2 linked regions of the Caenorhabditis elegans genome follow. The protein of the gene in region 2 purifies or fractionates together with the protein of the main gene of each other region. This does not show direct contact. Each region holds a gene or a part of one and is shown on either strand. Other genes may lie near its edges. The genes, in order: Y32H12A.7 and C46E10.8.

Region 1 (5,626 bases), on a different chromosome or scaffold from region 2:
TTTTCTGAAAGAAATTGGAAGTCGTGGCGAGACCAGATTTTTGTTGATTTTGTTTTCCACTATTACCAACCTTTGAATAACGTTCATAATATGCATGGCACTTGCGATAGAGCAGATAGACAAATCCCGGCATCAGAACTCCCAAAGCGGCAGTTATGTATAGCAGAATCTCGTCCTTTCCTTCCAAATAATCCTCGAGCCACGACTGCGGCTCCTTGCCACGTGGACCTCCTTCAGGTCGCAGTGGTGGAACTTGGTAGGCACACATTTGGATATTTTACTGAAATTCGAGCAATTCTCAAATAAGATAATAATAAAAAGATTCAAAACGTAGACACCGATTTAGTTTTGAGAGAAGTGTCTGCGCCTTTAATATAGCCATTTTCTTCATTAAAAACGTACCAAAATTACACCACAACACATCATGCAAGGAGCACCACACAGCAGGCATCTAAGTAAAAAAAATTGGAAAAAAAATCAAACTGGCTAAGAAAAAGAAGTAATAGAACTGGACAGTGAGACCAGCATTCCGAAAAAAAATTTAAAAAGTTGAAAAGCAGAAAATATTGTTGAACATTTTTATTAGCAACAGTTGAAAAATGCGTAAAACCCAATGAAACAAAAAGAAGATCTCTAAATACTAAAACTATAAAATCTTAAAGCTACTCTGAAACTGTACAATTGAAAAGGACGATTTTCGCAAAAAAGTCCACTATACGAGAACATTTAATAAAAACGGTCTAGCGCATTGGAAGAGATCAAGATCCGGATCCAGAGATCGGCCGAATCCTTCGAGAACCATTACAGACAGGATTACTGTAGTGAAAGCCGAGTCGAGCTCCACTTTGTGCTCCGCCACAATTGTGAACATTTCTGAGAGAAGTGCCGAGATATTGAGCTGAAAAAGTTTATATTGATGAGGGAACTTTATTTGAAAAATTTCAATTTCAATATATTTCGAAACTAAAAAACCTATAATTTCTTGAGTTACTGATTTTTGAAACAAAATCGGAAATACATAGTTTTGATTTAAATTTAGTTTTCTAAAATTTCAAACTGTTCGAATTTGTTAGTTTTCAATTTTTTTTTGTATTTTTAAAACAAAAAACTAAACTAAAACTCTTTCCGATGTCAATTTTTGAAATTGAATTTTTCTTTGACAATTTTCAGAAATAATTCCAAAATTTTATACATTTTTTCAAGATTTTACGATTTTTTTAAATTAAAATTCCAATTTATAAATTAAAATTTGAAACATTTTCGTTTAAAACGCACAGTTCTCAAGCTCTTTTCGCTTCTGGCCTTCAACACAAGCTTTTCCACTTGTCGGCAAAACCTTTCCGGATCATTGCACTGTTGGAAGGGGGATTGATGAAGAAGAAGCTTCCCGACATCGTATCCCCGTTTCTCCACAACACTTCTGAAAAGCGATTTCAAATTGTGCAAATTTTTCGGTGTTTCGGAAATGGCAATTCCAGTGTCTAGAAGGACCAGAGTAGGCTCATCTTCAAGATCCGGAGAGTCGGTGAAACGAATTCTTGGAGCTGAACGCAAGTTTACCAGTGAACGAAACCATTCCAGCTGCAAAAATAATTATTATGATCCATCAGATTTTTTTTTGTTTTTATCTTGCACTTGTCAAAAAAATCGAAATATCTACAGTAACCCGTACCCCTCTTTTAAGTGCACTGTCTGCTTTCGGCGCCTTGTGTACTCCTCTGAGATTATCTTCATTATCATTGAATCGAATCAGAATGTTTCCCGGATGCAGGTCACCATGCACAAAATTGTCGACGAAAATCATTTTGAGAAGGGCTCGGGCTCCGAGCAAAGCAATTCTCCGTCGAACTGCTTGTGATTGTCGGGCGGTTAGCTGAAACTGATTGAATATTGGAGGGAATCCCGAAAATCTATTTTTTCTATATTTTTTAAACGTTCGATTTTATTTTTAGTAACCATTTCGAAATCAATAATTTTTAAAAACAAATAACGAAAAAATGTTTCGTTTTCAAAAATCTAAAAAAATACCTTTTTTTTTTGAAAATCTATCTTCGGATTTTTGAAAAATAATTTTTTTATTGGCAAAATTCTAATTAATTTTTTATTTTTAAATTTACGCAATAAAAATTTGAAAAAAAAAAGTTTTTTTGCAAAATGAATTTTTTAGAGTGGAAGTTTATTTTGGAAAATTATTTCATATTTTTTCTACCAAATCTCCAATTTCTAACCTCTGGCTGTCCTTCCTCTGCAACCAATCGATTAATATAAATTCCTTCTTCAAATGTTTCCACAATTACATTTTTAGTATATCCAAGCACAATTGGAAACTTAATTCCAGTTTCTTTTGAACTAAAATTGTCTGAAAACTTCTTCAAAGCCTTCGCCTCATTTCTCAAGTCAACTTGTCGCCGAAGTACCATTTCAAATTGTTCAAGTGCTCCAGTTGGATCCAAATACCAAAGAGCCGGTACAATATGTTGCATTAACCATGCTCCACTTCTCAGAATTGAAAGATCCAATTCAATTTGCTTATCAACATCTTTATCAGCCACTTTAATAGCAATCCGTTGTGTTGTACGTCCTTTAAGCTCTGGGTATTCCTTTCCAGTAGCCTTCTCAAGTTCAGAGATATCTACAGTACCTCGATATACTTGTGCAATACATCCTGAGCCAATTGAAAATGGTTCAATCTCGAGAAATACTTGTTTTCCATGCAATTTCATAAATCCTTTTCCAAATACTTCATTCATTACTTTTTTCTTATCACGGAAGAATCTCTTGTTTTTAGTTTGAATATGAAGCACGGAGAGCTGAAATTGAAAATACAAATTGAAGATGATTAGAAAATCAAAATCTCACCCGATCACAAAACTTTTTTGTGAAGATGTCCCTTCGTGTACTTGCCCATTGTCCTAATTTAATAAAAGTTGGTCCAGAATGTTGAAGAGACCACAGAAGATATCTCCACCAAAGATTCTCGAATGCTTCTATTTTTGTCAGAGGATAAGTGAGAAGAATTGGAGAAAATCGAAGGAATAAGCTAATGCATCTGTAATTATTTTATTTTCTTTTTTTCCAGGAAATCATATTTTAGCATTTTTATTTTCAGATCAGAGATATAAAAAGTTGCCTTTTGGAATATTTGTACAATTAAAAATTGAAATTTATTTTTTTTCATTGTAACTCCAAATTAAAAAAAAATTGCAAGACAATTTTTTTCAGAAAATTGCTCACCTGAACATTTTCCTTATTGCTTTATAAGTGACAACGATCAATGTAATCGGTAGAGTTATTATGCCCATCATCGTTGATTTTTCCACTACGACTTTCTAAAAATCTTGATATTTTATGGGATTTTTTTCTTCGAAAAATTAAAAACTTATGCAAAAAAATTGGATGTGAAGAATAAAATTCTAGAGTTTTTGCGTAATTGAAAGTTTTAAAATCATTTATAAAATTTTGAAAGTTTGAATATTTAACTTTAAAATTCGATCTTACTTTCTGTGGAACAAGAAGCCATGGATCTTGATGCTCTGCTTCACATTTTAATGTCCGTAACCTTGTTAAAGACACAGCTCCACCCATTCCGAGCACAATTCCTAATTTAAAATTTCTAGAGCTCACGGCTCTGCTGTGAGCCCAGCACCTGTACAAAATTAACCTCGTCGACCCGAATATCATGTCTCTGGAAATATGAAAATATTGGAAATTCTGAAAAAAGTTTACAGAAGAAGATAAAATTCAGGATTCTAGAACCAGTTTTCAAATTAAAAGGATGACCCGAAAAAAATATCATAAAACAATCTTATATCACATAAAATCCAATCAGAACAAACAAATAATTTAACATAATTTTTGAGAAAAAAAAAATAGAAAGGCAATTTGATGGGCGCAAATCGATTCAAATATATATATACAAAATTATCACATATTGAAAATATACCTTATAATCACTAGCGATTGAAAGAATTTCAAAATTTTGAAAAAAATAATGGGAGAACAATTGAGGGGAATACGAAATACATTGGAAAAATGGCTATAAAAATGAGATAAAGATAACAAAAAATTTAACAAAAAATATATATATAAAACAAGAAGAAAACTGTATATCCTTCCTAGAACCACTTGCGTCCGTTAGTTTGCGCATCTTTTGGATCGTATTTTTTCGGCGGTTTGTACATTTTCTGAAAAAAAAAGATTTATTTTTAAAAAATTTCTTTGAATTTTATCTTGGGTCTGAAAATGTAGAACTGCTAGAAAACATTAAAGCTCATTTGTTATAGATATTTCAAACATTTAGAACTTTCAGAAACTATTTTTCCATACCTTTCCCTTCAAAATACGATTAATATGCTTCGGCTTCATTCTATTTGCTGGTGGAATCTTTCGTATTCTCGTCTGCATTTTCAAATCACCCCATGACCAGTGTGCTGTATCAGAATTTTCAACAATTAATTCATTGATATGTTTCAATAAATCTTTCTTTTTTGCCGGAAGCTTCGCCTCAATCTTAAATTTGTCAAGATCCGCAATTCCTTCCAACATCTCGTTGATTTTTCGTCGAACCTTCCACTTTTTTGCTCCAATTGCTCGTTTTTCCAGAGCAAATGTTTCTTCTGGATTTACAGGTTTCGATCGGAGTTTTAAAAGCATCAGCTCTCTTTGTGCCTTGTTCATTGCTCGGCGAGCTCGTTTTCCTTTTTTCGAGCTGTTCAAAGACTCAGTTGATCCACCAAGAGACGAAGATGAATCCGATCGAACTTCTGAACCAGAATCCGAATCAGAACCCGAATTATGCATATTCAGGAATCTAGACATTGATTTTGGATCTTTCGGTGTCTGTCGTCTAATTTCTTCAAATGTCTCTTTTCGTTCCTTCCATTCTTTTGGATGAACTTCCGAATCAACTAATTCCGCAAATGTTATCAATTTGGAATCATACAGGAACATGTTGGTTTCTAGCGGCTGAAAATTGTTGAAAATAGTACTTTTTAAATTCCAAATTAAAATAAAAGATCTGCATTTTTTTGATCGTGGAACGAAATTCAGATTTTTGTTTTTAAAAAAGTGATCTAAAAAAAATTTTGGGAAGACTTTTCTTTTGAACTTCTTGCCACTAACCATGAAATAAGTTCCCCGAACTTTAGTGATCATCATATCAAGCAATGGACGCTGCTTTGCATGTAAAGTAAGCAAATGTTGGAATCTTTTCCGTCCTCTCTCAAAATCAGCCAAATGTGGTGCAAAACGGAAAATTGCCTTCTGAGCCATTTTATACATTAATACAGCCATAAATCTGCGTCTATGGAAATCTGATCCCTCGTGCATACTTCTGAGCCATTCAATTTCTTCTTCACAATCCTCCATTTCAAGATATTTCGCGTTTGGAGCCGCCGGTTGAACTATATCTGTATTTCTGAGTACTGGAGACTTGTCATCATCGTTCTCCTCGTCTTCTTCAGTCAGAGAAATCTGAAACACAGAAAATTATATTTAAAAAATCAAGAACAAAATATTTCTTCTAAAAATCGAACAAAACCCGTCGCTTTCCAAATTGAGATGTTTTCAAAAAAAAGCAGACATTTTTAAATTTTAAAACAATTTTTGTTAAAAGAAAAACCAACAT
Region 2 (4,840 bases):
CTTGAAGGAAACTGATAATTGTTGATAACTACGGTAACCTACAGTACCCTATTCTATCGTGATCACTGATTTTATGGAGTAATCAAACAATTAGTTGGTCTTCAGAATACAGGACTGGTAGATCAAACTACGCATAGTTTCTTTTTCTATCTACATCTTCTTCACTCTCCTTCCCATTTGCTCTCTGCCAATACCGCGCGCCAAATCGATAATTGCGCCCCACCAAAACACTCTGCGCGGGTTCATTTATTCCTTCACCTCTACTCTCTTATCAATGGACCTGCCTGAAGCTCAAGCTCTTGTGCCAGTTTATTCTCAGGTACTGTAAAATTTTCACAAATTAATTAATAAAGGATCCATTTTTTTTCAGGAATTGCGCAAGGTGCAACAGTTCAAGTAATTACATTCTCAGAAATCTCTGAGCAATCACATACGGAACACCAAATGTGGACTTGGGCTGTCTTCTTACGAAGACGTTAGTGCTTAATAGATAGCGTTTGGCATCATAATCTATCTATCTCTATCTAACTCTATCTAACTTATCTATTTCAGAGGTACACCTGCGAATTCTGCGGATCGAAATACAATTACCAAAGAAGCCTGGTCAGTCATATGAAAAGTCATCTGGAAACTGAAACTGCCGCTTCTCCAGCTCCTATGCAGACCAACTATCTCACGTGTCCTATTGGTCAGTGCGAGATGAAGTTCAGTTCGCAAAAGATACTTCTCGAACATCTTTTCTGTCGCCACATAGGCCAGGTGCAAGAAGTGTAAAGCTCCGTTCGCCAGTGTTCAAGGACTCCTTGCTCATTTCAAAGAGAAACATTGTGGACTGAAGGTAGAATCAGCGACAACGTCAGCAGACGCCGCGCAGAACACTTTAGGGGAGTTATTGAATGCGATGGGAGCTTCTTTGTCAGCAGAAAGAATAGATGGTGGGCCAAGTCAGGAGCTCAGCAAGGAAACGGATTTGCAGGAAAGCTTGTTCATAGAGTCTTCAGCTTTAGCTTCAGCCAATGGATGGCCACAGCTTTCCGTTGATAGTCAAAGTTCGGGCACCAGTGGTTTCCCAACGAGAAGCAGGCTCTTCGAAGAAAAACCATTGACCTATATCAACATTGATTCTCTTCCCTCGTCTTTTAGCCTCACAACTATGGTAAGAGTTTAAATTGTATATTGAGCAAAATCTTTGGTTTTCAGGTATCTACTCCAGCTCAGTTGCTCAGCTCTTTTCCCGGTGTTGCGACAACGCCAGAAGCTTTTTTTGAAAACTGTGAAGGAAAGTTGTGGAATTCCTTGGAAGCTTCTTTGCCGTTGAAGATCAATGATGGAATGCCAAACCAGGAGTTCGAAAAGCAAGCGGATTCTCAGAAAAACTATGGATCACCACAGCTCAGCGGTGCCACCCTTGATGGTCAAGGCTCAGTGAGTTCAAGGCTCAGTGAGAGAAAGCTCAAGTACGCAAGTGATCTTCCGACAAGCAGTAATGTTTGTGAGCCAGCCAACTCATTGAGCTCGACGAGGCACCAAACTCTCACCGGTTCTAATGGGGTAAGGCCAGTAAGTTTAACTTCATGTAAAGAGCTTCTCCCTCTACAACAAACTTTTTCCAGGTTAATCGCCAATTCAAATGTGAAATCTGTGAGAAACAATTCGCCAACAAGCCAAACTTAAACCGCCATCGAAAAATTCATTCTGGAACAAAATCCAAGAAGTGCAACATTTGTCAACAAACGCTTCACAGAGAGAATAGGGTATGCTAACTAATTTCATTTTTATATACTTTTCAGAATTTTCAGCTACAAGAGCATCTGTACACACATCTCAAAGAACGATCTCATTTCGACTGCCCCATGCTGAACTGTTTTACGCAATTTCGGTCTCATTTGGAAATTCAACGTCATCTCGAGCACCACCACCTCGTTTCACCACACAATTTGGCTCCGTGTAGGAAATGTCGCAAGCACTTTGGAACTGCCAAGTATTTCCTGATTCATCACTATTATTATCATTCTACGGTGAGAAAAAACTATATAATGCTTCAAAACTAATACATCTTCTCAGGATCTGACCTCTTCGGCTCCAGCGTCAACTTGCTCAACCAGATGGTCACCTATGACCGTATCAACTTCAGAATCCAGCTCAACTTCAGAATCCAGCTCAGGAATGCCAACACTGCAAGATCCAATTCGACGATGCCCCAATGAGCCTGTTGCACAATGCCCTTCACGCTCCAGGAAGCCCATTCAAATGCTCATTTTGTGGAGCTGAGTGTGAAGATAATCTGGCGTTTACAATTCATATTGTTACTGCCAATCATAATTTTAGTGGACTTTAATTGATAATTTCGTACTGTTAAATAGTTATTTTTCGTAACGCCATTCAATAAATCTAGTTTTAGTTCTCGAGTGAAACTTAAAATTGATATATAATATGAAAAAAGGTTTTTCGGGCGCCCAAAAACTGCCGAATAGTCTTTTTTTGAAGCTTATTAGAAACTACACATATTTTCTTTCTTTCTCTGCGTCTCTCTTTCTGACCTCCCATTTGCCCTCCGCCAATACCGCGCGCTCAATCGATATTTGCCTCCAACACTCCATTCCGTAAAGGGGCATTCATAACCATTTAAATACTTTTTTCTTCTATCAATGGACCTGCCTGTAACCCCAGGTGCTCCCAATTTTGCTCAGTTGCTTGACCCAGTTCATTCTCAGGTAACTTTTTCCACGTTTGTTTTCAAAAGATTCAATTAAAATATTCAGGAGTTGGGCAAGTTTGTCTACCAATGCAAAGCGTGTAGCAGAATTTACGCGAGCAGGGTAAGAGAAAACTTTGCTCCAATTATAGTTCCAATTATCACAATTTCAGAAATCTCTGAAGTCCCACCTGAAGAGCTACAAATATGCTCGGGAAGTCGCTGGATACAAAAGTGTGAGTTTAGTTTTTTTTACTGAACAGAAAATCCCTTTGTGTTGAAACTCTACCTTTTTCCAGAAGCATACATGCGAAATCTGCGGAGCCCATTACTCAAGTAAAATATACTTGAACCGCCATATGAAAAAGCATCTGGAAACTGCTGATTCTGGAGCTCATGCAATTCCCAGTCTGGGCTCACCTGCTCCTTCTTCTTCAGGCTTTGCAACTATGGTAAGAGCTTTGAATTGTGTTGAGCAAACTATTTGGGTTTTAGATCGTTCCACCAGCTCCGTTGCTCAGCGCTATTTCTTCTGGATCTCCACAGCTCGGGGACACACGTGTTCTCGCCTCTTTTTCGTGCTTCGCGCCAATGGTAAGAATTCATTATTGTGGTATGGAAAAGCTTGGATTTTCAGATTTCTCCGCCATCTCAATTGCTCAGCTCCATTCAAAGTGATCAAGCAGCTTCGCAGCACAATCATCTGGAGAGATGTTGAGAGCGATAGAAGCATCCTTGTCGTCAAAAAGCAATGATGGATTCGGCGCGTCAAGCCAAAAGCTCGGCGAGCAGGCAGATTTGCAGAAAAGCTCTGGATTATCAGAGCTCGGAGAAGTCACCCCAGATGGTCAAACCTCTGTGAGTTATTTGAAGTTTTGGCGTTCAACTTAGGCTGACTATTTTTTGGAAGTTTCAAACCCCACGCGCTCTGCCAACAAACAGCAAGCTCTGTGAACGGGGCGAATCGATGAGCTCAATGGGATCCCCAACTTTCAATGCAGATCAGTTACTTGGCGAATCTACCTCGATGTTCCATGGAGCACAGAAACCTCAGCAGCCAAAATTTGTAAGTTGTCAAAGCTCGCATTTCATGAGGGCAGAAAAACACCTTCCTATCTTTGAGAAGGTGTACTTTTGCCACATAGGCACGTATACACCTATGCATCTGGCTGCCTAGGCATCTAGGCACGTAGGCACCTGTGTATCTGGGTACCTAGGTACCTAGCCACGTAGGCCTAGACCTGAAATTTTGCTCTAAACACTTGTTTTCAGGAATGCGAGCATTGTGAAATTGAGTTCAAAGACGCTGTGCTGGGCCAGCTCCACACCAGTTTCCACACGATCGGCAACCCATTTCAGTGCTCACTTTGTGGAGCACAATGCTACAATGAGTACGCCTTCAACATGCATCTTGTCCAATCCAGTCACAATTAGTTTTTGTCTTGCTCCCTGTTTTATATTGCTATAATTAAGCATGTAAAAAAATAATCATTTTCATTCGTGTCCAGAAGTTTGAATTAAAATCGAATAAATCGAATCTACCGGAAAAGCATCAAAAGTACAAAAATGAGCACAACCTTCTTGAAACTAGCCGATGCATTCATCTCCTCATCAAAGCACAAACGATCCGTCCCACATCCTGTCAAATCCTCTTTCTGGCCGAGAGCAGCAGGTGTCGGCTTTTGTGGTGGTATTGGAGCTGGGGTGGTTTCTGCTACTGTCGTTGTTGGCTCAGGAGTTGTGGTAGTTGTTTCGTCGGCCGCGTATTCTTTCACCGGTGTTGGTTGTCTGAAAATATGGATTTTAAATTTGAAAAGTTCACCAGCAACTGCTCACTTTTCACAAATTCCTGCGATTTCACACAGAATTTTGATGTACTTGTGCAAATACGTGACCTCCACCACCTCCATATCTGAAATTTGAAAGATGCTTTCTTGTAGACGGATTAAACCAATTTCTCACTAGATTCGGGGCGATTCTCAATGCTTCTACTAATCACCCCGGCTATAACGGATTTGTTCGTCTCGTGGTAGTGAATATTTCCGGTTACTTCAGGAACACCGGCATAGCAGAACGTAGACTTGTCCACTGGTGAGGAGCAGTTGGTAATCTGCAAGTTATGACGATTTCCATGAAAAAAAGTTT

What was found.
Region 1: the proteins of C46E10.8 (region 2) and Y32H12A.7 fractionate together in Caenorhabditis elegans (co-fractionation; one large-scale study listed by BioGRID). This does not show direct contact.

What each region holds. Positions count from the first base shown.
Region 1 is NC_003281.10:5,381,723-5,387,348, forward strand, and holds Y32H12A.7 (ABC1 atypical kinase-like domain-containing protein), read right to left. Parts: upstream 3,685-5,626; 5' UTR 3,682-3,684; coding exon 3,499-3,681; intron 3,330-3,498; coding exon 3,235-3,329; intron 3,050-3,234; coding exon 2,860-3,049; intron 2,811-2,859; coding exon 2,229-2,810; intron 1,880-2,228; coding exon 1,673-1,879; intron 1,582-1,672; coding exon 1,276-1,581; intron 899-1,275; coding exon 713-898; 3' UTR 565-712; downstream 1-564. Other genes in the region: Y32H12A.6 (Flavodoxin-like domain-containing protein), read right to left, coding at 1-4, 71-268; Y32H12A.8 (WDR59/RTC1-like RING zinc finger domain-containing protein), read right to left, coding at 4,116-4,184, 4,327-4,965, 5,122-5,472, 5,625-5,626.
Region 2 is NC_003280.10:3,725,243-3,730,082, reverse strand, and holds C46E10.8 (C2H2-type domain-containing protein), read left to right. Parts: upstream 1-2,018; 5' UTR 2,019-2,064; coding exon of another isoform or gene 2,065-2,393; 5' UTR 2,394-2,648; coding exon 2,649-2,714; intron 2,715-2,762; coding exon 2,763-2,819; intron 2,820-2,868; coding exon 2,869-2,931; intron 2,932-2,994; coding exon 2,995-3,147; intron 3,148-3,190; coding exon 3,191-3,289; intron 3,290-3,332; coding exon 3,333-3,413; 3' UTR 3,414-3,761; intron 3,762-3,967; 3' UTR 3,968-4,233; downstream 4,234-4,840. Other genes in the region: C46E10.1 (uncharacterized protein), read right to left, coding at 4,234-4,483, 4,532-4,607, 4,658-4,805.